7 linked regions of the Mus musculus genome follow. The protein of the gene in region 1 interacts with the protein of each later gene in a pairwise test. Links are inferred from orthologs where the notes say so. Each region holds a gene or a part of one and is shown in the gene's direction. Other genes may lie near its edges.

Region 1 (4,178 bases):
GTGTGTGTATACACACATATATGTATATATATTTAAATGACAGGTTGTATGTAGGCTATTAGATTTTTTTTCATGGAGATTGTGCTTGCTTGTGTGTGTGTGTGTGTGTGCATGTATGTGATTTTTTTTTCTTTTGGGTGGAATTACTCTCCAAAGCTGGGAGCTCCCCTTCTCTCAGAGTGAACCGACTGGAACACATGCTTTGTCACAAAACAAGCAAATTGTGGCTCCTTGTGATATTGGTAGATTCTGGGAATAAAGGCCATCCTGGAGGGGCAAGCCCCCCTAAGTTAGGTCTGAACACACCGTGCTGTGTGCCCTATACTGGGTGAGCAGATGTCTGAGGAAGGCTCTTGCAAATGTTTACTTATATGGCCCCTCTCCTGAGAGAAGTATGCATGCTTCATCAATGTATTTCCAGTGGCTAGGGAATTTTTTTTTAAGTAGTTGTGTTTGGCTTCATAAAGACAATTAAAAGACCATATGAAACAAGAAACACACACACACACACAAACACACACACACACAAACAAACCCAAAAGCCAGTAATTCAAATTAGTTCCGAACTATCATGTTTTGCTTTAGAACATTATTTTTGTTTTTGCTTTTTGTTTTTTGTTTTTCGAGACAGGGTTTCTCTGTGTAGCCCTGGCTGTCCTGGAACTCACTCTGTAGACCAGGCTGGCCTCGAACTCAGAAATCCGCCTGCCACTGCCTCCCAAGTGCTGGGATTAAAGGCATGCGCCACCAACGCCCGGCACTTTAGAACATTATTAAGCATGCATTTTTCAGACCCTAGTGCTTACACAAACAGGACTCAAAAACTCATGGTTTCTGCAATGCCTGTAAGTAACCAACACTGCACTAAGCGCTGAAGAATATTCTGGAAGCAGAACTGCTCTTTTTCTCTACAGAGGAGCGAGATGAAGCAGAAGCAGCTGCTTCGGGGAGGAAAAACACAGTGTTCTCTGGAACTTTCCAATAGTACGGGTTTACTAACAGCTCTGTTCATTGGGAGTTTTAAAACCCTCGACCGTTGAGTAGAAGTCCGCCTTTTTTCAAAAAAAAAAAAAAAAAAAAAAATCTATTTTCCAGTTACAATTTGGCGGGAACAGGAAGTTTGAAAATTCAAGTGCCGAAAACTTCAAATAACTCGTATGACATACATGTAATAAGTATTTCATTTTTAATTTACACCGTACACCATTGCCCAACACACAGAAACACGGTAAATTTAGCACACACACACACACAGAAAGTGGAAAAAATGCAAGAGTCCTATTGCAGTTCTCCGGACATTCAGCGAGCTGTTTTGTTACAAGTGTATCCAATGTCCCCAGCACCAGGGACTTATGGGGGCACCGCTCATTCCTGCTTCACTTGCTCTGCAGCTTCGGGAAGTGGTGGCTGCGTTTGGAAGCAGAGCTTGCCCAGCTAGACGACAAGATGCTTCGCGCCCCCAAGTGCTCTAGGTGCCGGAACCATGGCTATCTGGTACCAGTCAAGGGCCATACGGGCAAATGCCGCTGGAAGCAGTGCATCTGTGACAAGTGCTACCTGATCACCGAGCGCCAGAAGATCATGGCTGCCCAGAAGGTTCTCAGAACCCAAGCTGCCGAGGAGCAGGTGGCGACCGTGGGCACGCAGGGTCCCCAGCTGCCTCCTAGGGCTCCAGCAGCGGCGGCCACCGCCTTGAGCTCCAGCATTTGCCCACTGCCTAGGGCGGTTCCGGGAGGCGTTGGGCCAGGCCCCACGGCCACTTGCTTCCTCGAGAGGCCCCCGCAGGCCCCGAGCCCAGGCCCGAGCACCTTCCAGCTGGGCCCAAGTGGCCGCCCGGGCCCCAGCACCTTCCAGCCTGGACCAGGGGCCCCCGGGGGACTGCGCGACCGTTCCTCCGCGTGGCTGCCCCAGCTCATGCCACAGGCGCCCAGGCCGGAGCTTTGCTACCCGGATCAGCACCTGCCAGTGCGGCCCGTGCCAGTGCCAGGGCCAGTGCGGCCCGTGCCCCGACTGCCGTTCGCCGACTACGGTAAGCCCAGCCTCGTGCAGCCGACGGTTCCTCCGGCCTGTACCAGGCCAGCAGCCTCCGGCTCTAAGCTGGAGTCCCAGACTGGTGCCGGGGTGGGAAAGGCGCCTTCCCCAGGTAACCCCGCTTGAGAACCTGTTCCCAGACAAGGATTTGGGTGGGTGGCTTCTGATGATAGCAATGGGAAAAAGCTGGTAGGGAAGAATGTGCAGTGCAGGGGGGCTTTGTTGAGATGCAGTTTTCTGCCTCTGTACTTTTGCAAGAGGAAAAAAAAGATGGCAGCTGGGCAGCTTTGGCAGTGGCGCCTTTCCGTGGCCCCTCTAGCGCGTTTGCACGGCATCCCTTCCCCCCTCCCAGGTCTAGATCTCTTGTGCCTGCGTGGCAACCCCTCCCCCTCCCCGCCTGCCATTTTTCTCCTGCTGGAGAGTCTTTTTCTGAGTGGCTGTTCACCTTAAACTGCGCCTGCGCACCCTCCTTTCACTGAGCCGAGGCTAATTTATCCTAACTGCAGTGTCTAGCCTAACGCACCTGTACTCACACTCACTTGTTCCATTTCACCTGATGTGGTGGGGAATAAAACTTTCTGCTAGTTGGCCAGGGGGATGGGCTGGTTCACTAAGATTTTTTTTCCCCCTCGCTTTGTGCATTAATTACATTGTTTCTTTATGCTGTAGGTTGCTTTCCTGGTTGAAGTAGATTTCTTGAGTTTTTTTAAAATTATATTTATATCTTATAATTTATTTATTATAATGCATTGGTGTTTTGCCGGCATGCATGTCTGTGTGAGGGTGTCTTATCCTCTGGAACTAGAATTACAGGCAGGTGTGAGCTGCCACATGGGTGCTAGGAATTGAGCCTGGGACCTCTGGAAGAGCAGCCGGTGCTCTTAACCTCTTAACCGCTGAGCCACCTCTCTAGCCCCTGAAGTATGTTTTCAAGTAATGTAAAATTTGAGGCTCTTGGAATGCGGCTCTTTGGGATGAAGACTTGGGTTTTTGGGGGGGGTAGAGGGGGTTACTTTCCTTAGGGCTATGTAGAAAGAGTCTGAGTCGAGGGGATGCCCATGTGTAGCCTTGGACAAGTTCCTTCCTTGAAGAGCAGACTTTCAGAAATTAATGCTAACCATTCTTTTCTCTTTTTTTTCTTTCTTTTCTTTTTCTTTTTCTTTTTCTTTTTCTTTCTTTCTTTCTTTCTTTTTTTTTTTTTTTTTTTGGACAGGTCTCTGTATAGCCCTGGCTGTCCTGGAACTCACTTTGTAGACCAGGCTGACCTCGAACTCAGAAATCCACCTGCCTCTGCCTCCCAAGTGCTGGGATTAAAGGCATGCGCCACCACACTCCGCTCCAATGCTAATCATTCTTAATGTTTCTGAGATTTTGTAAGAAATCTTTCTCCCCAAGGAACTATCTGTCTGATGAGGAAGGCAGACTTAAATAAACCAGCAGTCCTATGAGGGCATATGTGTGTTCATCTCTCAACAAACAGGAACTTTAAAATGTGTTATAAAGAGGGGGGGAGAAGAGGCCACTTGTGGCTAATCCCAGCATGTGTGGAGGAGAGGTCAGAGGGCAACTTTGGGAAACCGGTTCTTTCCTTCTACCTCATGGGTCCCTGGGATGGAGCAGTGGCTGTCAGGCTTGGTGGCAGGTGCCTTTAGCCATCTTGCTGGCTCTGATGGTGCTACTCTCGATTGTCAGATGGATTGGTGAGAAACCTGGATGAGGAAAGCAGGAATTTGTCTGGATGCATCTTGGGAGGCGTTTCCAGAGAGTTTACTAAGTAGGAGAGGTGGGCCCTGCATGTGGGCAAAACAGCATGGCTGAGTGTTCAGGGACAGTGGGGTTAAAAATGAAGAGGAGAGATGGTGTCTGTGACTGCAGAGGAAGTGCCTGGGCTGTGCTGTTCACACCAGCACTGCCAGGAACAGAAACTGAAGCAGAGTCCAGTGGTGGGTGAGAACCACCACACGGTGGCTTAGACGTCCTGTCCTGTCCCCTCCTGATGCACCAACCCCGGGGAACAGCTTGACTGCAGCCAAAGCCAAGGGCTCCCATTGTCTCTGCCCAACACAGCGCTGAACCAAGGGGGGGACTGGGAATCTCACCGGTGTGCTAGAGTGTTGCTGCTAGTGTTGCATGGCCGTTACTGTTAG
Region 2 (3,980 bases), on another chromosome or scaffold:
GCCACTTTTGTTCTTAAATATATAACCTCAGATGACGTTAAAGTCACCCTGTAGCCCAGGTTGGCCTCAAACTCGTGATCCTCTTGCCTCAGCCTCCTGGTTTGAGCAGGACAACTAACTGGTGTACTAGATTTTTTTAGAGCAGAATTACTGTAAGAGTTTGGCCTGAAGGTTGAGGTTCTTACAAGTGAAGGACAACAGGGAGCCAGCATAGCATCCAGGAAATGGATTGGCCAAAGGCCACGTGGATTGATTCTCGTGAGTTTGGGAGCGGGGGGACCCAAATAAGCTAAACCCATTCCCTGTCTCTGAGCCTCAGTTTCTCGATCAGTAAGTCAGGAACTGCCATTTTCTTAGAGTTACCGCCTTTCAGCCGGCCAGGTAGAGCTCTACGGGAGGGGCGTGTCTGCATGATGATGTAACTCTGGGCGGGGCCTATGGGTCCCACTGCGGAAGGCTTGGGGGAGGGGGGGCTCGACTCAGCCCGGACGTGTTGGCGGGGAAGGGGCTCTAGAGGAGGGTCTCCGGGCCTCTGAGCCTGCCGGATTGTTGGGACGATCCTACTACCCTCCGTGGGCAAAATTAAGCTGTAGCTGGGCCCGCGTGGGGAGCAGATCGGGGTCTCACCACCAACCCTTCGCTCCTAGTCTATCCCCCACCCTTACCCCCGCCCCCACCCCAACCACGACCCGGCCGCGGTGAGTCAGCGGCCCGCCGCGCCCCCTCGCTCACTTCCTCCACACCTTCCCCGGGAGGGTGGGGGGCGGCGAGGGGTGGGGCTCGGCCTGAGAAGCGAGATCTGGGGAAGAGAAGTGCGGAAGTGTTACTTAAAGGTGGAAATTGATGAGATCCCTTGCTTAACCAAGGGTACCCCCATCCCCCAAAAAATAAACTGAGAAGTCCACGGAGCGAGTTGGAGTGGAGAACCTACACCCCCAGATCTCTACTAAAGAATTTGATAGTGGAGACAGCTAGAGATCAAAGAAAGGCCCCTTGTCTCTTCCACCAAGCTTTCCCCTCCAACTCCGGAGTGAGGCTCAGGGTGCACCCCCACGCCACAAGACCGGGAAAGGAGTGCAATTGCGGAAGCCCAAGGTTCCGCGTTGCCTTTTAAACGCTCTCCATCCCCCGCCTGGAGGCGTCCACGGCCCCTTTAAGGCGCAGGGAATTGTGGGTACGGGGAGTGGAATTTTGGAACGAAATGTAGCAAAGAGAGTACAGTAGTAAGAGTAACCGCGTAGGTGCAGCCGGCCGAGGGGGTGCGCCGGCGAGGTTCGGACGCTGCACCCCGCTTTCCATCGCAGGGGATCCCAGCACATCAGAACACCGGTGGGAGGAGGCGCCTGAAGACCCGCCCCGGCCCGGTCCACGTTCTCCCCAGGAAGCTGGACTCTATGGGGCGGGACCCCGAGAGAGACTGAGCAGAACCTGGAGCCAGCCCCGCACCCCTGCACTTCCAATCAGGGGCGCCCCGGGAGCACTCCCCGTGGGCGCGCCGCCCGCCCTCCGCGCAGCCATGAGGTGAGCCCCGAACCCTCCAGCCGGGTCCCAGCCGGGAGCCGGCTCCGCGCCCCGCCTTTGTCCCCCTCCCCCCCTCCAGCGCATTTGGGGCTAGATTTAGGGGACACAGCGCTTTGGGCGTCCCAGATCTGAGCCGGTGCCTTCTGGAACGATCTCTAAATATCGACACCCCGTTTCTCCACACTACTCCCTAAAGGCTTGGGGCGGTGCCGGCTGAGGTTCTCTTGATGGCTTTCAGGTTTAGGGGCGCTCTCGGGACTCAGAATTTGAAGACTTTTGGGGGGAGCACCTCTGAGTTCTCAGATAGTCAGATCCTCGCAGGGATGATCTAGTATAAGCGGGCTCAGAGTTACCGCCCCCAAACTCAAAACCAGGTGGGAGGCTGGCTAGAGAACCCTAGCCCTAAAACTCTTGAGTCTCAGGTTGTGGTTGGAATTCGGATCCTTGCGTCTAGGGCACTGGATGAGAGTCCCAGAGTGGAATCGCGGTCCTTAACTTTAGGGGCACTTCTTGATGTTCCTAAATTTGGTGGACACCGAGGTTCTCCTGTGGAGGAGTTCTTGGGAATCTGGCCCACGGGGCCTAGAGGGTCTGGATGGGACTCTTCTCCCCTTAGGCAACCAGGTTGGGTCCTAGGGCCCTGGAGCACTCCAGGCCCAGGGCGGCTCCTGGACCCCCGGGCCAGAGGACGGTTCTGGTCCCCCCCCCCCAACCTGGTGGCCGGGGAGGGAGGGGGCGCAGCAGCTGGGGGAGGGGGGCCTTTGTCTTCCTGACTCACCTGTCGAGACAGCTGGTGTGGGGGGCGGGCCCCCGAGTGAGCACTGTGGCCAGCTGCTTTCCCCACACCACAGTCCCTCCCCCTGGGCTCAATGTCGCTGGGTGTTACCCCCTTCCCCAGGCCGTGGGATTGGAGGAGGGGGCGCTGGAAAGCGTCAAGGTCATAGCCTTCTCCCTCAGGGACCCAGGCTCACTAGCTTCTTCCAGCTCTCTTCCTAGGAATTTAATCTTGTAGGTGAGGGGGATACAAAGATTTTTTTTTTCTTTTTTCTTTCTTTTTTTTTTTTTTTGTATGTCTTCCCTGGGACTTGCCCTGAACTCCTGGGCTCACCTGAGGGCGGGGCCTGGCCTGACAGAGGCCTCCCCTCCTCTCAGCCCCAGCCACCCCCACCCCCCCATAATCTCTCCCTTGGGGCCACATCTTGACAATACTGTCTCCCTTCCTCCACTTTGGCTGGGACTTCCTGCCCCAAAGCCCCTGGCTGGAGGAGGAGTCTCCTGGGGACAGTTTGGGCTTAACCTCCCATGTGCACATCCTCCAGTCTTGCCCTCTGACATCTAGGTGACATTCCTCTCTAGGACCCTGAGCTAGGACCCCTCCCTCCCTCCCGGCCTCCCAAGTCTGTCCCTTGGCTTGTGGGAGTGTTGGGATTTGGAGCAAGAAGGGGTACATTGAGACACCCTGGAGACTTCCTGCCTGGCCTTCCCTCCCCCATGGGAGCTCTGTCCCCCTAAAGGGGGTCAGTTCCTCCACTGCGCCCCGCTGCCCCCAGCCCCGCCCCACCCCCACCCGTTTCCGGTCCCAGGCCCGGTGGAAGGCGGATGGCGGATGTCCGAGTTAGTGCCGCCTCACTCGCTGAGACCGTAAAAGGGCAGGAGCAACGTCTAGGCCGGCCCCCTGCACTCCCACCCCCAGCCCCGGTCCTCCTGCAGCCCGCCCCGCTCTGGCTGTGGCCAGTGCCAAACCTCCCTCCCTCCCCTGAGGGTAGGCACAAGTTGAAGGAATCCCCCACCCTCTTAGGAAAGGGTCTCCCTCGTCCTTGGTCAATTGCTGGGCTGTGTCACTTCTCCAAGGACAGCTAGGATTAGAGACAGAGACCCCGACCCATTCCTTATTTCCTTATTCCCAGCTGGGTAAACTGAGCCCTGCCCCCAAGACTTTGAATCTTGGCTCCAGCGCCCTCAGAGGTCTTATGCTGTGGTGGGGAAGGGGGCAGGACTGGTTTGACTGGGGACAGCCCTAGGGGGAGTGGGAAGGGAGGTGGTTGAGATGGAAAATTACAAGATACGGTTCTTTTTCTCCCAGTTTGACAAATATTTGCCGAGTGTCTGCTGCATCCGGGAGCTGGGAAAGGCAGAGAAGGGGTCAGAGGTCTGAGGGCTCTTGGGCAGAATTCTGAAAGAATGTGCCTCACTCCTTTCCTCTTGCAATAACATGAGCAGCGGTTCTTCTTTTCTTTTCTTTTTAAGTGATGTAGCAGGTTCAATCACTCTTCCTGCCAGGTGGGGTAATATGAGTCTGGTTCCGTTTTAAATCTCCACCGCAGTTGAGTGCAGTGCTAGTACAAGCATGTGCTCCCGGTCTTACCCCCATTTTACAGGTAGTAAAACTGAGGTGCAGTGGTGTTAAGGAAATGGCCTGTTAAAGTTTAATGGTTTGGGAGTACGATGTGGTGACTCAT
Region 3 (3,190 bases), on another chromosome or scaffold:
GTCCCTAGTGCCTGAGGACAGAAGAGTACGATCTTCCCAAGAACTGTGGTTACATACAGTTGTGAGCCATCTCTCCAGCCCCAACCTCTGACCGACTTATACACATACATTTTATCGATTTGGAGCTGTGCTGTAAAGTGTAGTGGGCATTGGGAGTTACAGTCAGAAACATGGAAACTGCTGTTGAATGCAGTGCCTTCACATCGTAGGTGGCCTCTCTGACGCCTGTGGACGTTAGCAAAGTCACACGAGGTCTCCAGACCCATTCATAACCATTTGGGGGAAATAAGTAGAAATTAAGACCCCCTACACATTCACAATCTTTATTGTTTGTCCTTTTAAAATGTATTTTACTAATATATTTTAATTGCATCTAATAACTGTTTTCTGCTTGGCTGGCTTATGAGATGTTCTCCCGTAGCTCAGGGTAGCCCCAGACTTACCATTGGAGCCAAGGATGATTTTGATTTCCTGATCTTCCTGTGTGTCTCCCAAACACTGGGATATGTATATGCGTGTGTGGGCGAGAGCTGTGTGTGCGAGTGCCCATGAAGGCAGAAGAGGGTGTCAGTCCCTTAGAGCTGGGTTTCGTGGTGGTTGTGAGCAGCCTGATAATGGGTGCTGAGAACTGAATTCTAGTCCTCTGGAAGAGCAGTGTGCATGCTGACACACACCACCAGCCATCTCTGCAAACCCCAGCTACCTCTAAAAATTAACCAGTGGCTGAAGTCTGTGGTAAGCTCTGCACCTTCTGGCCAGTGTCTTATATGTTTCAAGTGAACTGTGTCTCTTTAAAGTTGGCATTTATTTCATCTTCTTGTGTGATGTTGGGAGACTGAGGGCCTCCTGCTTCTGTGAGCCACAGTCACCTGATCTTCACAAACTTACCATGAGGAAGGTACTTAGCTGCTTAAAGTTAAGAGAGCAGAGGAAAGAAGTGCTAAGTGCAGCACAGAGCGGCCAAGGCCTCCCTCTTTCCCCCAGGTGATACCTCTGTCCTGGCTGGAGTCTATGGGCCGGCCGAGGTGAAGGTCAGCAAAGAAATCTTCAACAAGGCCACCCTTGAAGTGATCCTGAGGCCGAAGATCGGGCTGCCTGGTAACTGGACTCCACTGAGCCCCCCAAAAGATCCAGTCTGTTGGGACCTCATCTGACCCCTCGATGCTTGCTGTGTCCAGTCTCTGCTGCCCTGCTCTCCTCCCTCTTTGCCCAGCTTTTGATTCTGCTGCACTGGAATGGAATCTAGAGCATCAGGCCTGCTGGGCAGATGCACTTCCAGGAAGCCACAGTCCCAGGCTCTCCAGGGTGGAGTCCGGTCAAGCCCTCTGCTGCTGAGATTAGGCCTCCCAGATCCTCACTGGTGGTCTCCAGACAGGAATTCCAGCTCTGAGCCACACCATTAGCTTTTCCCTAGTGAATTTAAGGCTATGTGGCTAGGCCATGTAGCCAGCCCTGTTAACTCTTTTTTTTTTTTTAAGATTTATTTATTTATTATATGTAAGTACACTGTAGTTGTCTTCAGACACACCAGAAGAGGGAGTCAGATCTCATGGTTGTGAGCCACCATGTGGTTGCTGGGATTTGAACTCGGGACCTTTGGGAGAGCAGTCAGTGCTCTTAACCGCTGCTGAGCCATCTCACCAGCCCCCCTGTTAACTTTTTGAGACGGGGTCTCAAGTCCTCTGAGCTGGCAGTGAGCTCTCTTTATAACCTAGGCTGCCCTCAAATTCATGATCCCACTGCCTAACCTAAAGTCTCGAGATTACAGACCTGTACCACCAGACCCACCCTCTCTTGAGCCTTTTCTTTCTTCCCTTTTTTGCCTTCCTCGCTCTTCCTTCCCATTAACTTGTTTTTCTGCCCTTTTACCACTTCTCCCCATGTGTCATGGGATGGGCCTGCTCTGATGAGAGTAGATATGGCCAGTAGCACAGGACATGGGCACCTCTGGGTATTCCTCCTTGGGTGGCTGGCTGGTAGACCCCTGGCCAAGGTTGGCCATAGCAGGAGTTACTCAGAAACTTGCAGACTCGCCCGCTTTCTCCTGGGAGTGTGTACTCCGACCCGGACTGAGGCTGACAGCCCCTTCCTGAAGTCTCCCTCCAGAGGCTGGACCAAGCAGAGCAAGACGACGGGGTGGAAGGGAAGAGCCTGACCGCTTCCCGTCTCCCCAGGCGTGGCCGAGAAGAGCCGCGAGCGGCTGGTCAGGAATACCTGTGAAGCTGTGGTTCTAGGGGCCCTGCACCCCCGGACCTCAATCACCGTGGTGCTGCAGGTGGTGAGCGACGCTGGCTCTGTATCCTTTCCCAGCCCTCTCCTCCAGGAAGTGGCCAGAACCTCCCCTCCGGCTTCCGTACCCTCAGCCACCCAGGACCTGTGCCAGGCAGCAGCTCCTGCAGAGCATACAACAAGGCCATGGTCAACAAGATGGTTCAGTGGAGAAAGGTGCTCGCTGCCAAGCCTGACGGCCTGAGTTCAGTCTCCAAGGCTCATATGGTAGAAGGAGAAAACCAACTCCCATAAGTTGTCCTCTTAACTACCACGTGAGCACAATGGCACACACCTGCCCCTGAACACACACAAGTAGATGAATGTAATTTTTAAAAATTAGCAAGCAGGGCTTACTGTGTGCTGCTGGGCCTGGCACTGAGCACCTCATGATGTTAAGTCATTTAGTTCTCACTGGGCTTGTATTGGGTAGCACTGTAATTCCTATGTAAATCCCAAGACAGTGGGCTCAGGCTCTCTGGTTCGAGAGCCCTGCCATGTGTGTTTCTCATGTTGCCTTGTTTCAGGTGAGGGGCAGTGTTTGGTCTAAGGGACCAAGATGGAAACAAGGGTGGGACTCAAGCTCCAGGCACGTCCCACCTCAGAGCTCCATTATCTAGCATGGTAGCTGCCTACTAGACTCCCCGGGGGTGGGCCTGGCTTTGCCAGTAATGTCTTTCTTGTGTGGCTTTGGGATATCTCTCTATTTGACCCTGTTTCACTCATGACACTTGGTATATCCCTTAGTGTACATACCTGTTCCCTAGCATTGTCCCATCTAACACAAAGATATGAGACATGGAGAAAACCATTTGATCTCATAGCTGGGAGAGAGTTGGTAAGACCTGGTGTGGAGCAGCGGCAGCCACTTGGCGCCAGAACCGCGTAACCATCCTGCCACGCCGCTGCTCTGTGATGAGTC
Region 4 (3,500 bases), on another chromosome or scaffold:
AATGTCTTCTTCAGTTGCTTTCCACCTTAGTTTCGAGACAGGATCTCTAATGGAACCTTGTCTTAGTCAGGGTTTCTAGTCCTGCACAAACATCATGGCCAAGAAGCACTTGAGGAGGAAAGGGTTTCCTCAGCTTACACTTCCACATTGCTGTTCATCACCAAAGGAAGTCAGGACTGGAACTCAAACAGGTCAGGAAGCAGGAGCTGTTGCAGAGGCCATGGAGGGATGTTCTTTACTGGTTTGCCTCCCCTGGCTTGCTCAGCCTGATCTCTTATAGAACCAAGACTACCAGCCCAGAGATGGCACTACCCACAAGGGGACCTCCCCCCTTGATCACTAATTGAGAAAATGCCTTACAGCTGGATCTCATGGAGGCATTTCCCCAAGTGAAGCTCCTTTCTTTGTGATAACTCCAGCCTGTGTCAAATTGACACACAAAACTAGCCAGTACAAACCTGTAGCTCACCTTTTGGCAAGACTGGCTGGCCAGCAATTCCAGGGATCCTCCTGCCTCTGCCTGCCCAGCTCCAAGTACTTCAACAACTGAACCATCTTCCCAGTGACTGGTTGGTTTTAGAAAGGCAGGCCAAGTTTGAAATCTGAGCCTACCTAAGCTCCCAGGGAATAAAAATGACGCTTGTAAAATGCTTAAAAGCAGAAATATTTTTGGCATCCTAGTTAAACTGGGGAATATTCTTTCAAGTACTTCTTTTTGTGATTGAGAGACTGTCTGAATGGGCTGCCTTTAGAATTTGCAGGCTGCTGTTTAGGTTATGCCTGTAAATTGGAGTCAAGATTACCAAATGGAAAAATTAGAATGAAGTTGAGAAAGGAATGGGAAGACAACAATAAAAATACCTTCTCTTTCTACATTGCATGGACTTCATCCTAGAAAGATGGTAATAATTCACCTTTCCAGGTGTTATGTGCTTAGCTGCCTAGCCTAGAATATAAAGCATAGGGGCCGGAGGTGTGTAACGAATACTTGCTGGTTGTTCCTTGTCAGATTGACACAAACTAGAGTTCTATGGGAAGAGGTATCAGTTGAGGAATTGCCTCTCTCAAACTGACCTGGAAACATGACTATAGGCCTTTTTTTTTTTTTTTTTTTTTTTTTTTTGATTAATCACTGTGCGTGGTGACACCCTGGGTAGGTGGCCCTGGGTTGTACAAGAAAGCAGGCCAAACAAGCAATGAGGAGCGAGCCAGTAAGTAATGCTCCTCTATCAGTTCCTGCCTCTAGGTCCTTACCTGCGTTTAACTGATGAGCCATTTCTTAAGCCCTACAAACAAAATTGCTTTTAGAGCTGTGTGCCTGGGTGTGTCTGTGTGTGTCTGTGTGGGTGGGTGGGTGCGTGCACACGCTCGTGTGTGAACGCCTGCTTGCCTGCCTGCGTCTGTGTGCTCTTATGTAGTGGGTGCACGTGGATATGCGTGCACATTCATGTGGAAGTCCAAGGTTGATGTCAAGAATATTCTTTACCACTTGATTAAGTCCGGTGCTCTGTCTTGCCTCCATGACAGACTATGAACTGCAAAGTGAAATGAACTCTTTTCTCCCCTGAGTTGGTTTTGGTCCCAGCAATAGAAAGAAGTGTAGGGCATTGGTCTCCCAGAGAATCTGAAGGGAGTTCCCAGCACCCATATCAAGCAGCTCACAACCACCTGTAACTTCAGCTCCTGAATGTCTGGCGCCCTCTTCTGGCTTCTGTAAGGACATATACAGATATATACATACACATACATTTTAAAAATAATACAAATATTTTAAAAGCATTTCATGATGTAGAAGCAATCCTATCAACTGTCATAAGTTGGCTGGGAGCTGTTGTATTTCCCTTTCAACTTAAAACTTTGAAATGTGAACTGAAAATTGATTAGAAAACATTCTTATATTATTTTTATTAAGAATGTTAAATGACTTCATATTTCTAATAAAAACAATAGCCATAATATATGTGGTAGAGTGATTGCTATAAAACATAAAGCATTACTCCAGGTCTGTTGTCTTTTTGGTTTGGTTTTGGTTTTGGTTTTGGTTTTTGATTTTTGATTTTTTGAGGTAGGGTTTCTCTGTGTAGCCCTGGAACTCACTTTGTAGACCAGGCTGGCCTTGAACTCAGAAATCAGACTGTCCCTGCCTCCCAAGTGCTGGGATTAAAGGTGTGCACCACCACTGTCCGGCCAGGTCTGTTGTCTTAGCATATAGACAGCTGTGTAAGTGTTGCTATCAGTCACATTTCCCTAAGTCAACAGGAGCCCTGTTCCCTGATGGAGGATTGCACCCTCTTATGGGCGACAGTCCTACCGTGGTTACATCTCGCTGTGCCTAGACTATGGGTATACCCTAGAAGCATTTCCTGCTCCCAATCCCCACCACTAGTTGATGTGTTTGTTCAGTTGACTGGGCCAGCTCTGGCAGAAATGGCCCTGTGGGATGATTGATGCTGTTTGCTTGTGGACCACAGTCTCACTCCCATCAGGGATGGGGTGGAGAATGGCGGTTAGAGTTCAAGAAGAGCAGCGTCAGAGACAGAGGCAAGTTCCTTGGTCCTAATCTAAACTTGGAAACTGTGTCTTTAAAGCTTCATATGTTTCTTAATAGACCCTTTCTGAAGATTTCTGAAAGGCAATCCTTAGGCTCTGCTCATCTATTAGTCTACCTTAGTTTGAATTTTTGTCTGTTGCACACCTGTTTAAATGCTAATCAGTCTTGACCTTGGAAGCAGTATATTCTGCCACCAACTATGGGTACAGGCAGAGCACCAAATGATTTGGAAGAGATGATCAAATATTAAGCTCTTGGCTATCAAGATGGCTCATCAGGTAAAGAAAGGTACTTATCACCAAATCTGAGTTTGATCCCAGGGACTCATGTTGAAGGAGGATGTAGAATCAAGTTGTCCTAACTCCACACCATACCATAATGCTCACAGGCAAAGCACACATAAAATTAAGTTTTATCAGTTGATATTTTTTAAAGAATGAAGTTATCTGATGATCCTAGCAGTTTCTTCCTGAGCGGGGGATAGTGAGAGAACATGCTAAGAGTCCTGTGTGATAAAGATTTATTCACTCACTCCTCTTTCTTTTCTGTTGCTTGCTCTAGGGTAACCAGGAGCCAACAACAACTCCTGACGCAATGGTTCAGCCTTTTACTACCATCCCGTTCCCACCACCTCCACAAAATGGAATTCCCACAGAATATGGAGTGCCACACACTCAGGACTATGCCGGCCAGACCAGTGAACATAACCTGACCCTCTACGGGAGTACGCAGCCTCATGGAGAACAGAGTAGCAATTCACCCAGCAACCAGAATGGATCTCTCACGGTATGTGAAGTCGGAGATGCAAGGTAGAAGGACGTGTGAAATTTTTACCTTCTCGGAAAGAAAGCGCTTTGAGTTAGTTTAGCATTTCTACTCACTGCCCAGCATGCATGTACTGACTGTTCTTTCCTAAGCCTTGTGGCTGGACAGTGGGGAGCTTGAACTA
Region 5 (3,500 bases), on another chromosome or scaffold:
TGAAGTAGTTCTCAGCAGGCTTTGGAAAGTAACCTATTCTATTTGGGGATATTTGCCTGTTAAAAATGATTCTCGGTACTTTGAAGCAATCAAATGTGGTTCTGTTTCTATGGGAACGTTCAATGCATGCTGTTTTCCTCCCAAAGAGAGGCACTTTCTGTAATCTATATCATGCCTATAATGTAGATTTCTTTCTTTTTTTAAGGTTATATGTTGGCTCTTCAAAGACATTCACCTCACCAGAGAAATCCCCGAGTCCTTTGCAGTGGTGTAGACATGTCCTAGATAACCCAACTCCTGAGATGGAAGCAGCCAGACGCTCTCTGCGCTTCAGACTGGAGCAAGGTACTGTGAGTGTGTGCACTCTCTGTCTTCAACCTTGGACTGTGCTCTTGGCTTCTGTTTCTGGTTTGGGAATAGACTTCAGCTGATAAGCTCTTAAACTGGGGTACAGGTTCTTGTCACATGTGATCCGTCTGTCCTGAGGAACACACAGTTCCTTACTGAGGGCTCTGCTCACTGGCCTCAGGGGACTAACTACCTTTAGTTAGAGTTTTAGCTGATGATATGGATCATATCTTTTTTTTTTTTTTCTTCCTGTTTCAGAAATGTGTCAGTAAGTGAAATGAGTCTGTCTTCACTTTCCTAAATTGGTAATTAGGACCTGTGGCTCAATTCTAAGTCACACTGGGAGTTTCTTGAGGTCTACTTTGTTGTATTCCTTCTCTGTCTAGTTGGATGGATGACTGGAAGTCTTAACCTCCGTATGCCAGAAGCTAATCCTAGTAGTGTATGTCCCATTAGTTAACCGGTAGAGACCAGCAGAAGACACATACCACACACACACACACACACACACACACACACACACACACACACACACAGAGACAGAGAGAGAGAGACAGAGACAGAGAGAGAGAGAGACAGAGAGAGAGAGACAGAGAGACAGAGACATACAGGCAGAGACAGACAGATAGACAGATTGACAGAGACAGAGAAGCAGGCAGACAGACAGAGTCAGGCAGAGACAGACAGACAGACAGATAGATAGGAGATAGGTAGGTAGATAGACACACACAGAGTTAGACAGAGGGAGAGAGACAGAGACAAGAGATGGAGAGAATTGTGGGAGAAACAGCTAAAGGAATTTGTGGTCTGTAGCTCCTTCCTTTTCCTCTGTGTCCAGTACTTCGAGGCTGTAAAAGTTTGACCTTTCACCTTGTTCTCTAACCTCTCAGTGTCCGCTCACTTTCCAGGAACACCCTTTCTGCCCATGTACCACTGCATCTCAAGTCCTGTTTGAACTTTTGAAAGCACAGGGCCCGCCCCCTCCAGGGGAAAGAAGGTGTTTGTGTGAGGATGGGCAGAGGGCATCTGCCTTGGTGAGTCAGGAGCACTGCTCAGGCACACTGAAGGTTAGACTCTGCTTCTCAGGCTCTTCAGGGATAATGGATGGTTCCGAGACACTTGAGAGGAGGACAAGCTAGGTAGAGTTTCTTTGCCTCTTAATCCTACAATAGTCAGTACTTCATGTTGATCAGAGGCAGGTTTTTCATTCACCTGTAGAGGTGAGAAGGGTAAAGTTGAGTGATCGAGAGGTTTGCTAAGCAAGAGGGTACTTGGGTGATGGGGTCGGTGTTGGGGTCTCCCTGACATCAGGAAGCCTATCCTTAGCAGTATAGATTCTGTACTGCCTGTTGTATTGGCACGGCCATAAGTTAATAGCCACAGAAGTCTAGCTTAAGTATTTGGGGAAGGTGGACTTTAAGGCATCTGTTTTGTTAACTATTGATGTATTGATAGCAAGTGGAAGACGGTCATAGGAACAGGGATATGCTGGGTGAACACTGGCCATTAGTGCCCATGCTGTGGATGGTACCCTGATGTCCAGAGAATCTACCATCAGTTCCTATCCTGCTCAACAAACAACCAAGTCCCCGTCTCTCACCTTCTTTCTCAAGTAGACTTATGGCCTTACTATGTGGACATTTTGTTGTATGAGTATGGTTTGAAACAGAAGTCAAATGAGATTCAAGGATGACAGCTCTTTAGCTCAGATGTCAATGAACCTGCTTCTGCTAAGGGTGACACCTTGAGATTTCCAGGCTACACACTGTTGTGACTGCACGACCCGCTTGTCACCCAGAAGCAACCATAGATGTCAGATTAAGTAGACACAGTTTGTTCCAATGGCACCTCGTTCATTGGCACAGATTCGAATTTCAAGAGATTTTTTTTTTTCTGTAATGAAACACTCCCCTCCCCTTAAATATAAAAACTGCTCTTAACTGATAGATATCAAAGAGACAGAAGGTGGCTGGATTTAGCCCACCGTGGCCATGGTGTAGCAGTCTCTGGGTCAGGTGACTGGCACAGAGTTAAATTGCAGGGTTGATTTTTGACACAGAAAGGAAGCTTTTAGTAAATGTAATGTAAATCTGATTAATATTTTTGATCAGATGTCTGATCATCTAATTTTGCTTTTTATTGGCAAATGAGAAGTCATGTGGACATGCAGTGAAATCAGACCATTTTATTTGTGCTTTGGTTTATTTGAGTTTTATAGAAAATATTTTAGGTAGAAAACTAATTTTTTAGAAGCAAAACCAGTGGCTGACTAAATTTGTTTATTCGTCTGCAAACTTTTGCTGTAAGACTAAATGCTTTCGTTTCAAAGATTTGTAATTCCTTGTAACTTACTGATTTGAGCTGAAGACCTAGGCCGGGGTGGAGTTGAAAACATTGAGCTCCTTGGTAGTGTGTTGCCTGGCAAGCATCAGACCCCCGGTTCCTGACCCTGCGTTCTGCTAAGGAGAGGCTGTTTATTGGATGGCCATTCATAAAATGATCTTTTCAGCTTGAAAAATATTAGTCGTCTCATACTTTCCTGCTTATTTTTCGGATGAATTACGTAACAGACACTGTTTTTCTGTTTATGTCTTTTAATTTTTCATTTGTTAGATGGCTGTGGAGTTACATTACCATTTTAAAGTTTCTTAATCTTTTGAGAATTTTAGACATGAATAGTGTATGTTATTCTCTTTTCCCCCCAACTTTTTTCTGTTTCCCCCTACTCCTCAAATTCATGACCTCTTTTTAAATTGTTGTTTCTCCCTTCTCTCTCTCTCTCTCTCTCTCTCTCTCTCTCTCTCTCTCTCTCTCTCATACACACACACACACACACACACACACACACACACACAGGCTTGCGACCTTGGGTTGTGAGGTTTAATTTCTGGTTCCTCCTCATCTCCTTATATATTTTCTCAGCACAGCTTTCTAACTTGGCTTTTTATGAATTATAGCATGCATAGATGTTTTTGTGATAGTGCTTATATGCAGGCATTGCAATATCTTATCATATTTTGCATCTCACTTAGTTTTTACTTTGCTACACAAAGGTGATTTTCTCAGTTCTGTTCATCAGTTTACTCCAGACTCTCTGGGTCCTCTCTGAGTGTAAGGGGCCTGGTGTCCTGTCCTGTTCCTGGCCATGCACT
Region 6 (3,929 bases), on another chromosome or scaffold:
TTTTGAGCCCTAAGGGTTTTTATACAAGCCCTGATATAATCCCTCACAAGGATGGAGTGATGTGGTGGTCCTAGTCACAATGTGCAAGAAAAAGTGGGAATTTGGGCAGCCTGAGAAGGAATAGGAGGTGTCACTCTGCCATGGAGTTGCTATGTTAGGATGGAACAACTGGGAGGAGCCCTTTGGATGGATCTGTAGGGAGTCACCTGCAGCTCGAGAAAACTGGAACAGACCAGGAGAGACAGTCCAGGATAGGGGTGGGGATTAAGGGAAAGTGTACATCTGCTGGCTTTCCCCCCTAGCCCTCAGTCTATTTAGGAAATACTGTAGCAGGTTTGAGACTCCACCTGTTAGATCTTTTTCTCCATCCATGTCTGCCAATAGATGGAATTGGAAGGTATTTTCAAAGCATTTTTTCTGTAAACAGATGCCCAGGCCCTTGTCATCCCTCATTGATACTGCCCACCTTTCTCAAAGATTTGATTTTCAAAACTCGTAACCATATGGCCTTCAGCATCCTTCAGTTTGGACTGTTCCCGTGATGTTATTATTATTATTATTATTAATTATTATTATTATTTTATTTTATTTTATTTTTTTTTATTTTTATTTTTTTTAACAGCTAAGCGGTATCCCTCGCTACGCCTGTCTGACAGTCCCACCAACAGTCAGTCGCTTACTCTGGGGTGGCCAGCGGGCATCTGTCCCTGCGCACAGATCACTTTCCCTGGCTGGGGCGCTGTCCAGCTCCTGGGTCCTGGGTCCGCGGCCCCAGCTCTAGCGCACAAGGGGCCGAGTGAACCGCTCTCGCTGTCCTCTTGAGGCCCCGGCGACTAGACTGGTAGCGCCCCACGCGGATGGGCTGCTTCACCACTCAGGCTCCGGCCCAGGTCACCGCGCCAAGGAGTGGCAGGGGCGCAGTCCGGGGTACGCGCAGGGGAGGGGAGGCCGGGGGCGGGTACAGCTGGGGGCGTGTCCAGGAAGGGAATCCAGCCTGGGAGGGGCGCTGGGGGTGGGGGCCGAGCGTCGGGCCGGCGGGCAGCTGGGCCCCTGAGCCGCCCGCGTACGTCCAGCGCGCCGCCTTGCCTGCAAACAGCAGACCAACCGAGGCCACGCCCGCGCGCGCGCGCCGCGTGTCCCCGCCCGCTCGTCGGTCGGAGCGCGGCTGGCGGCGCGGTGGCGGCTCGGCACGGCGGTGGCCGGGCGCAGGCGGCCGGGCGGAGTAGCAGACTGCGCCGAAGCCGCCCCAGGCGCAGGGCTCGCGGCGGCGGAGAGCGCCGGACTCATCGGGGCCCGCGGCCACCCGCACCTTTCAATGGGCAGCTCCCACTTGCTCAACAAGGGCCTGCCGCTGGGTAAGGCCGCGCGCGCGCATTTCCGGCTGCGGGCGGGGGGTGGAGGGGCGGGGGCGGGGCGGCCGGGCGCGCGCGGCGCTGGCTTTGTGTGCGAGTGCGCGTGCGCGCTCGCTGCGCGCGCGCCTGGTTGGGGGGGAGAAACCCAGGAGGCCAACGGGTGATGCGCATGCGCGAACTGCTGCACGCGCGTGCGCGTCCCTATTTTCCGATGCCCGCTCGCGACCCGCGCAGGTGACAAAGGGGCCTGTGGTGGTGCGACCCAGACTGTGACCGAGCCGGGCCTGTCTTCCTGGCCCGGGGTCCCGCGAGGATCCTTCTCGTGGACACCCAGCCGGGACCTAGGTGTTCCCGGAGTGACGAGCCTGCGGATTCCGCATGGGCCTCGGGTCGGCAGATCCGGGAGCGGGTAGTCTCTAGAGGTGGCGCTGAGGGAACATGGGTGGCCTACATGCCTATCACCCCTCTGGTCGACTTAGTGATGCTCAGCTTGGCACCTGGATTTGGACCACTTACGTTTTTTTTTATTCATTTATGAAAGTCCTTAAGCCACAGGGGTCCTGCCTGTGGAGGGCAGTCCTTCCTTGGCTGCGTTCCCTGGCCGCGTAGCCTGGCGCACGCGCAGCGAAGACGACCCCACCTTCGGGCGGGGCAGCCGAGAGGTTTCGGATTAGGGAGGAGCCTTTTGCCCACCGTCCAAGTGCCCTACAGTGTCCCTCTCTTTGGCGCTTCCACTTTAATGACCACACGGCTTGACCCCCAGCTCTGTTCTCACAAGGGCACTGCCTTCTTCCTTATAGCCTGAAAGCTGGCAGGGGATGAATCCTCGCAGCGTGTGCTGCCAGCAGGAAATAAGGAACTGTAGGCAGGAGGGAAAAAGGGAGGCGCCCTGTGATGGCCCACTATACCTCTTATCACACAAGGCCATTTTGCAGATCCTGTCAGTTTGTTTCAGGGTGTGGCGGGGTAAGGCCCTCCAGGCCTGCCTTCATCCTGGACTGGTGGTGGGTACTCCTCCCCTACACTGCACCTCTTCAGAGCTGAACTCCCTGGAGGCTCATGTGTATACACACACACACACACACACACACACACACACTTTTGTAGGAAGAGGCTCTGCACCCAAACCAGCAGGGTTATAGTCCAAATTTCCCATGGGGTAGGGAGGGCAGGCCCAGCCCATTGCCTTCCAGAAATCAGCAGGACAGCCTTGCCTGTCAAACCTTTCCTGGCCCAGGGTTATGTCCCTTGTCGTGTTGAGCTTTTGATTGATTAGGACAAATTTGCCTTGTAGGAAGGAAAAGGGAAGGAGTTTAGCTGTCCAGTATTTAGGAAAGTGAACCCAGTGAGCCAGGGTGTCAGCAAGATGATACCTAGCAGTTTTATTCCCCGGGTAGTATGTTCCCTTACTGTGTTTTGCTTTGTCACTTCCAGATTCAGAGCACGTGTCCAATATAAACAGGGATACACAGGATGCTTACCCCAGTGTGATTGGCATGCAGGACATCGGGGCTCCATTATAGAGTTGGACTAACATCTTTGAGACCCCGGGGGAGCATGATCTCTGGAAGAATGATAGCAGGATGTGAATATGGGCTGGGCTCATATGTGTGTTCTCTCTGTTTCATCTGCAACATGGGGTGACAGCTGTGGGATGTGCCAAGTTCAGGGACAGCGTTGTGGTGTAGTGTGGGGTCATACTGTTCTCCGGAACTCTATGAGTTTGCTTGTCTTGTTACTATTTAGGGTGGCAGCTGTGGTTTGAGGCTGCTCTTTCTCTGCATGGCCCTGCTGTATGTGTCAGCCTGGCTTCCACAGATGTCTGAGGGCACTGTGCCATGTTAGTTGTACATAGTGTGGGCTGGGGCCTGTGGAATCCTGGTGGGACCTCAGTGATACACTGTCCTTCTCTGGCTATTCTATCTTCTGTCACCTGTGGACCTGTAGCAGGTTTCAGCTTGTGTTTCGCCCTTTTCCAGATGAGTCTCATGCTCAGAGAGGTCTAGTGTCCCCTTCAGGGTTCTAGGTGGGACAGACTCCTGTCCTTCCAGCAGCTCACTATTTCCTACCTGCCTTTTGTACTTCATTGGTGAGTGCCCACAGGGTAACCTGGCAAGAAACTTGTGTGGACATTGATCCTTAGATCTGGGTACTGCTGAGGACCCCCTGTCCATGAGACCTACTAGCTGTGTGGCCTCCCGGCATGGTATGGAAAGCAGACATGTCCTGAGGTCTGTACTGCATGGCAGCACCTTTACACTAGCTTTCATTCTTCTAGTGTCAGGAAAGGATTTGGCTTGCTTGGTGCTGGGCAGGGGGCCTGCCTTCAAGCCCCGGGATGTAAACTTCTTCACAAGAGAGGCAGCGGCTTATGTGGACTTGGTTTTGTAGTTAACCCATGGCACCTGAAAGTCTGTCAGCACCAGTGCCTGCATTCTGCATCGTCACACTCACTGTTAGCAGTGACTCTGGGTTCTGTGGGGTAGACGGGTTCAGCCTACCGTGTCTTTCAGCAGTCCTGCAGCAGCTGCAGCGTCCTTGTCCCTCTGGGGCTGAGGGCCATGCTCACAAACATGT
Region 7 (4,135 bases), on another chromosome or scaffold:
GGTGGAGGTGAGTGGGGTGCTTCAGTGGACACAGGAGCTACACTCCCTGCTATTCTACCTGTGCTGCTCATCTCTGCGGGGAAAGGGCACACTGTTTGCTCGTTTATTTCCTTTTGTGTCTTTTAATGAAAGGTCTGAGACTGCGACGGCCTATAGAGGCTGGGAGCAAGGTTACCTCCTGAGTGCTGGGACCACACCAGCAGGGTAACGTTGTAATGATCATGTCCACTTGTTTATTCTACTTTGTTCCCTCTATACTGGTACACACAGTCTCTCCCTCGCCACATCCCCTCCCTTCCCCTCTCCTTCCTTATCCTAGGAACGCACTCTGCCACTGAGCTACACACTCACTATCCTGTCTGACTTCCTCCAAAAAAATATTCATTAAAAATTAAAAAACAGCCAGTCGTGGAGGCACATGCCTTTAATCCTAGCACTTGGGAGGCAGAGACAGGCGGATTTCTGAGTTTGAGGCCAGCCTGGTCTACAGAGTGAGTTCCACGACAGCAAGGGCTACACAGAGAAACCCTGTCTCAAAAAACCAAAACACACACACACACACACACACACACACACACACACAAATTAAAAACCATGTAATGGGCGGCTGAGAGGGCAGGCTTGGCAGGTACCAGGACTTGTTGCTTTTGCAGCAGGGCCTGTTCAGTTCCCAGCACCCACATCTGCTTGTGTCTCCAGCTCCAGGGAACCCAAAGGGGTTAGAAACAAGCAACCAACCACCCAGTTAGAATAATTCTATGATACATACTCACCATTTTCCTTCTTGATGGTTCTAGGAAGCACTGTTTAATTTTTCAAATCTCCTACAAGAGAGAGGAATTAGTTCACTTTACCCTATCAAGTTCCCACCATACTTGTTCATCTTTATGGTAGATTTACAACGAAAAGCTTAGACTAGCATCCTCTAAATGAAAATCCTATCATAAAAGTGTTGATCCTACCCAATGCAACAAGCCACCCCAGTGCGCACTTACTTTACTCATTTTCTTCAAGGCTTTCTGCAAGGGAGGCATAGCCCCACCTCCAGGTCTAGTGCTCTAGATAGGCACTTGGAGCTCCCTTTACCCGGGACACCTACTTTACTTAAGACGTCTGTACAATACATTTCTATACTTCACACTTTTGTTTTGTTTTTTCCCAAACGCCACATCTTGCTAACTTATCAATCGTATTTAAAAGTCCCAGGAATACCATCTCCAGCCCGAGAGTTCACCACGAGGATCCCAAGAAATAAATTTGCACCAACGTGGGGCGCAGCAGGCGTTTGAGTGCACGGAGAAAAGGATAAAAGCCTTTCCCCCACACTCACCCACTGCGCTCAGCACCACTGCTGCGGGAACGGAAAAGCCTCAACTACAAGGGCCGGCATGCCTGCGGGTTCCAAAGGCGTGTCTGTGCGCCACAGAAGTGAAGCCCGGAGCCCTCCGCAGGGGACGCCCTACTCTCCCGTCAGTCTCTCCTCATCACACCGACTAGGACTCGGAGGACCACGCACCTCACCCCTCGGCCCCTGAGAGCTCTACCCACAACCTCACTAAGAAGCAGAACCCGCTGTCGCCCAGCAACTTCATACAGCGGCCTGGAGTGGGAAGCAGAACGCACAGGACCAATTCCGCCCAACTTCACACAGCGGCCTGGAGTCGGAAGCAGAACGCACAGGACAACTTCCGCCCAACTTCACACAGCGGCCTGGAGTCGGAAGCAGAACGCACAGGACCACTTCTGCCCAACTCTTTCCACAAAGCCAGGAGCTTCAGAGCAGAGCGGAAGTGATACACTGAAAGAGCTTCTGCGACTGGTGAGTTGTGAACCACTGAAGGGCTCGCGGGGGCTGTCTGTTCTTCTCGCTGGAGGTGCACATCGGGCTGGCTGTGGTGACTGCAGAGGGCCGGGGGAACATGAATATAGAAGGAGAGGTTGCAGATGAAAACTGCCTTGCTGCAGGAGGGGTGAGGGTGCTGACTCCAGGAATAAAGGCTATGCCACGCGGCCCTTGATTATTCTGGAAAAGGTCTTGAGCCATGCGTAAATGAAAGAAAAACCACACGCAAGTGCAAAGAGAGCTCTCGTGTAATTGAAAAATAGCAAGTGGCTGTTCAGAGGGCTAAAGATCATGTAGATTGACAATGGATATTCCCATCTCTCCATTGTACGGCAGCTCCAGCCCATTCAAATAATGCTTTAAATGTGTCTGTACTGTGAGCACATTGTCCGAGAAAAACACCGGGACGTGGTCGTGTCATCTCACAATAGAAGTTTATTGTATAACAAGAAAGCCACAAGTTACATCAGTCTCGTTGGTAGCTTGTTACAGGATGTTTGGTCACACTGTGAACCCCCGAGATTGTGTTATTTACCGATGGTGGGTGGGAGGAACCTTTCTAGTTGTGGTGTGCCCTTAGCACACATCTTTAATCTCAAACAATGAAGGTAAAATTAGTTTGTAGAAGGAAGCATCCATGTTTGAAAGTGATGTCTAATTGAATGGCAGACAAAGTGAGGAATCAGAGAAAGATTTGACAGAATAGGATATGCCCAGCTCTCTCCAGAACAGGGAGAAAAGATGGGCTACTTAAGGGGTAGTGCAGAGAGAGACTGGGGGCAGTTTTTACTGGGACAGTTATATATAGAGAGGATGCAGATAGAGAAAACAAGCTATGCATAAGTGAAGACAGACTGAGCCAAAGAACAAGAAGCAGCCAGAAGATTAGAGAGGATTGTCAGGCTTAGTTTGAGGCCATGCAGAACCATTCAGTCAGAGGCTGAGAGAGAAGCCAGATGAATCAGGCAGCTTGGAGAGGAGTTTGAGCCAGAACAGCTGAGTTGAACCAGCCAGCCAGCGCAAGCTCAGAAAGAACTAGAAAGGGTGAGCTTATTCGGCAGTAATTCTCAGAGTCTGAAAACATAATAGGCCTAGATAAGATTGTATGGAGGCTATAAGCTTCCAGAACTAGGCCTAGCTTAGCAGAGAGATGGGAGACGACAATTATACCAGGTGAATAAAAGATACTTTTACAATACCTGTTTGAGGCAAACACATTTCCTTTATTCAATTCTATTAACTCTCAGATTGCACATCACACTGTTTTGAGTTGTTTTGGTTCTTTGGTGACACTACTCTCCCACCATTCAGTGCACAGCCATGGAATATGTGGGTAGGGGCCCAGTGCTTTTCCTCTCTGTTTCTCTGTGTAGCAGTTGACGTGTGTTCAGGGGCAGCAGTTCTGGCCTTTTCTTGCCTTGGCTCTGTGCGTTTGTGGAGTGACCTGTCTGCCTCAGTTCTTGCTCGTGCTGCCCTAGAACTGACTGTATAGCTGAGGCTGGCTTACCCTCTACCTCCCTTGTGCTGGGATCACAGATGTGTGCCGCCACACCCAGTGGTGCTGGGGACCAAACCCTTGTGCATGGTAGCTAAGCACTCTACCAACTCAGCTACAGCTTAGCCTCTTGAATGTGTTAGTTTTATTCTGTCTACGTGAATATCTTGGAGTGTGGGTTTGTGCGTTTGTGTGCAGCAGAGATACAGGGTGTAAGGTTGAAGCAGTGGTGGGCAGAGCAGGGAAGGTGTAAGAGGGGCTGAGCATTTATATTGCGTCATACTCTGCTAGGTGATATACTAATGCCTTTGAAGAAAATGAAGAGGTCAGATGACTTGGCCGAGCCCACCATGCTGCAGGGTGGCAGGGCCACTGTTTGACTCTGGGTCAGTGGTGAGAGCTGTTTTACTCACGTGCTTTATGCCTCACAGTGCAGAGGTGAACGGTATATAAATACCATTTCCTGGGTTGTGATTTCAGGCACCCTTCTCCCTGGTTTCCGTATGCTGTCATCGGCACACCTAGTCCCTACAAGTGTGCAACGTGCCCAGTCGTGGATCTGCAGGTCTTCCCGTTCCTTCATGGATCTGAAGGCTCTTCTCTCGTCCTTGAATGACTTTGCATCCCTCTCATTTGCTGAGAGCTGGGACAATGTGGGATTACTGGTGGAGCCAAGCCCACCCCATACTGTAAATACACTCTTCCTGACCAATGACCTGACGGAGGAGGTCATGGACGAGGCTCTGCAAAAGAAGGCAGACTTCATTCTCTCCTACCATCCACCTATTTTCCGGCCC

The links.
Region 2: the proteins of Dmrtb1 (region 1) and Vasp interact in a two-hybrid assay, tested with the Homo sapiens proteins (2 studies listed by BioGRID and IntAct). The two-hybrid records come from large-scale screens. The link is inferred for Mus musculus from reciprocal best matches to the Homo sapiens genes DMRTB1 and VASP.
Region 3: the proteins of Dmrtb1 (region 1) and Exosc5 interact in a two-hybrid assay, tested with the Homo sapiens proteins (2 studies listed by BioGRID). The link is inferred for Mus musculus from reciprocal best matches to the Homo sapiens genes DMRTB1 and EXOSC5.
Region 4: the proteins of Dmrtb1 (region 1) and Rbfox2 interact in a two-hybrid assay, tested with the Homo sapiens proteins (3 studies listed by BioGRID). The link is inferred for Mus musculus from reciprocal best matches to the Homo sapiens genes DMRTB1 and RBFOX2.
Region 5: the proteins of Dmrtb1 (region 1) and Slain1 interact in a two-hybrid assay, tested with the Homo sapiens proteins (2 studies listed by BioGRID). The link is inferred for Mus musculus from reciprocal best matches to the Homo sapiens genes DMRTB1 and SLAIN1.
Region 6: the proteins of Dmrtb1 (region 1) and Ctbp1 interact in a two-hybrid assay, tested with the Homo sapiens proteins (4 studies listed by BioGRID). The link is inferred for Mus musculus from reciprocal best matches to the Homo sapiens genes DMRTB1 and CTBP1.
Region 7: the proteins of Dmrtb1 (region 1) and Nif3l1 interact in a two-hybrid assay, tested with the Homo sapiens proteins (2 studies listed by BioGRID and IntAct). The two-hybrid records come from large-scale screens. The link is inferred for Mus musculus from reciprocal best matches to the Homo sapiens genes DMRTB1 and NIF3L1.

What each region holds. Positions count from the first base shown.
Region 1 is NC_000070.6:107,681,431-107,685,608, reverse strand, and holds the start of Dmrtb1 (doublesex- and mab-3-related transcription factor B1), read left to right. Parts: upstream 1-1,378; 5' UTR 1,379-1,446; coding exon 1,447-2,029; exon of another isoform or gene 2,030-2,143; intron 2,144-4,178.
Region 2 is NC_000073.6:19,269,055-19,273,034, reverse strand, and holds the start of Vasp (vasodilator-stimulated phosphoprotein), read left to right. Parts: upstream 1-1,180; 5' UTR 1,181-1,516; coding exon 1,517-1,521; intron 1,522-3,980. UniProt on the Homo sapiens protein: Ena/VASP proteins are actin-associated proteins involved in a range of processes dependent on cytoskeleton remodeling and cell polarity such as axon guidance, lamellipodial and filopodial dynamics, platelet activation and cell migration.
Region 3 is NC_000073.6:25,662,153-25,665,342, forward strand, and holds part of Exosc5 (exosome complex component RRP46), read left to right. Parts: intron 1-984; coding exon 985-1,098; intron 1,099-2,095; exon of another isoform or gene 2,096-2,174; coding exon 2,175-2,296; intron 2,297-3,190. UniProt on the Homo sapiens protein: Non-catalytic component of the RNA exosome complex which has 3'->5' exoribonuclease activity and participates in a multitude of cellular RNA processing and degradation events.
Region 4 is NC_000081.6:77,132,554-77,136,053, reverse strand, and holds part of Rbfox2 (RNA binding protein fox-1 homolog 2), read left to right. Parts: intron 1-3,112; coding exon 3,113-3,337; intron 3,338-3,500. UniProt on the Homo sapiens protein: RNA-binding protein that regulates alternative splicing events by binding to 5'-UGCAUGU-3' elements. Prevents binding of U2AF2 to the 3'-splice site.
Region 5 is NC_000080.6:103,656,728-103,660,227, forward strand, and holds part of Slain1 (SLAIN motif-containing protein 1), read left to right. Parts: intron 1-205; coding exon 206-345; intron 346-3,500. UniProt on the Homo sapiens protein: Microtubule plus-end tracking protein that might be involved in the regulation of cytoplasmic microtubule dynamics, microtubule organization and microtubule elongation.
Region 6 is NC_000071.6:33,272,205-33,276,133, reverse strand, and holds the start of Ctbp1 (C-terminal-binding protein 1), read left to right. Parts: upstream 1-1,129; 5' UTR 1,130-1,315; coding exon of another isoform or gene 1,316-1,355; intron 1,356-3,929. UniProt on the Homo sapiens protein: Corepressor targeting diverse transcription regulators such as GLIS2 or BCL6. Has dehydrogenase activity. Involved in controlling the equilibrium between tubular and stacked structures in the Golgi complex.
Region 7 is NC_000067.6:58,443,816-58,447,950, forward strand, and holds the start of Nif3l1 (NIF3-like protein 1), read left to right. Parts: upstream 1-1,335; 5' UTR 1,336-1,819; exon of another isoform or gene 1,820-1,874; intron 1,875-3,818; 5' UTR 3,819-3,841; coding exon 3,842-4,135. Other genes in the region: Ppil3 (peptidyl-prolyl cis-trans isomerase-like 3), read right to left, coding at 774-776. UniProt on the Homo sapiens protein: May function as a transcriptional corepressor through its interaction with COPS2, negatively regulating the expression of genes involved in neuronal differentiation.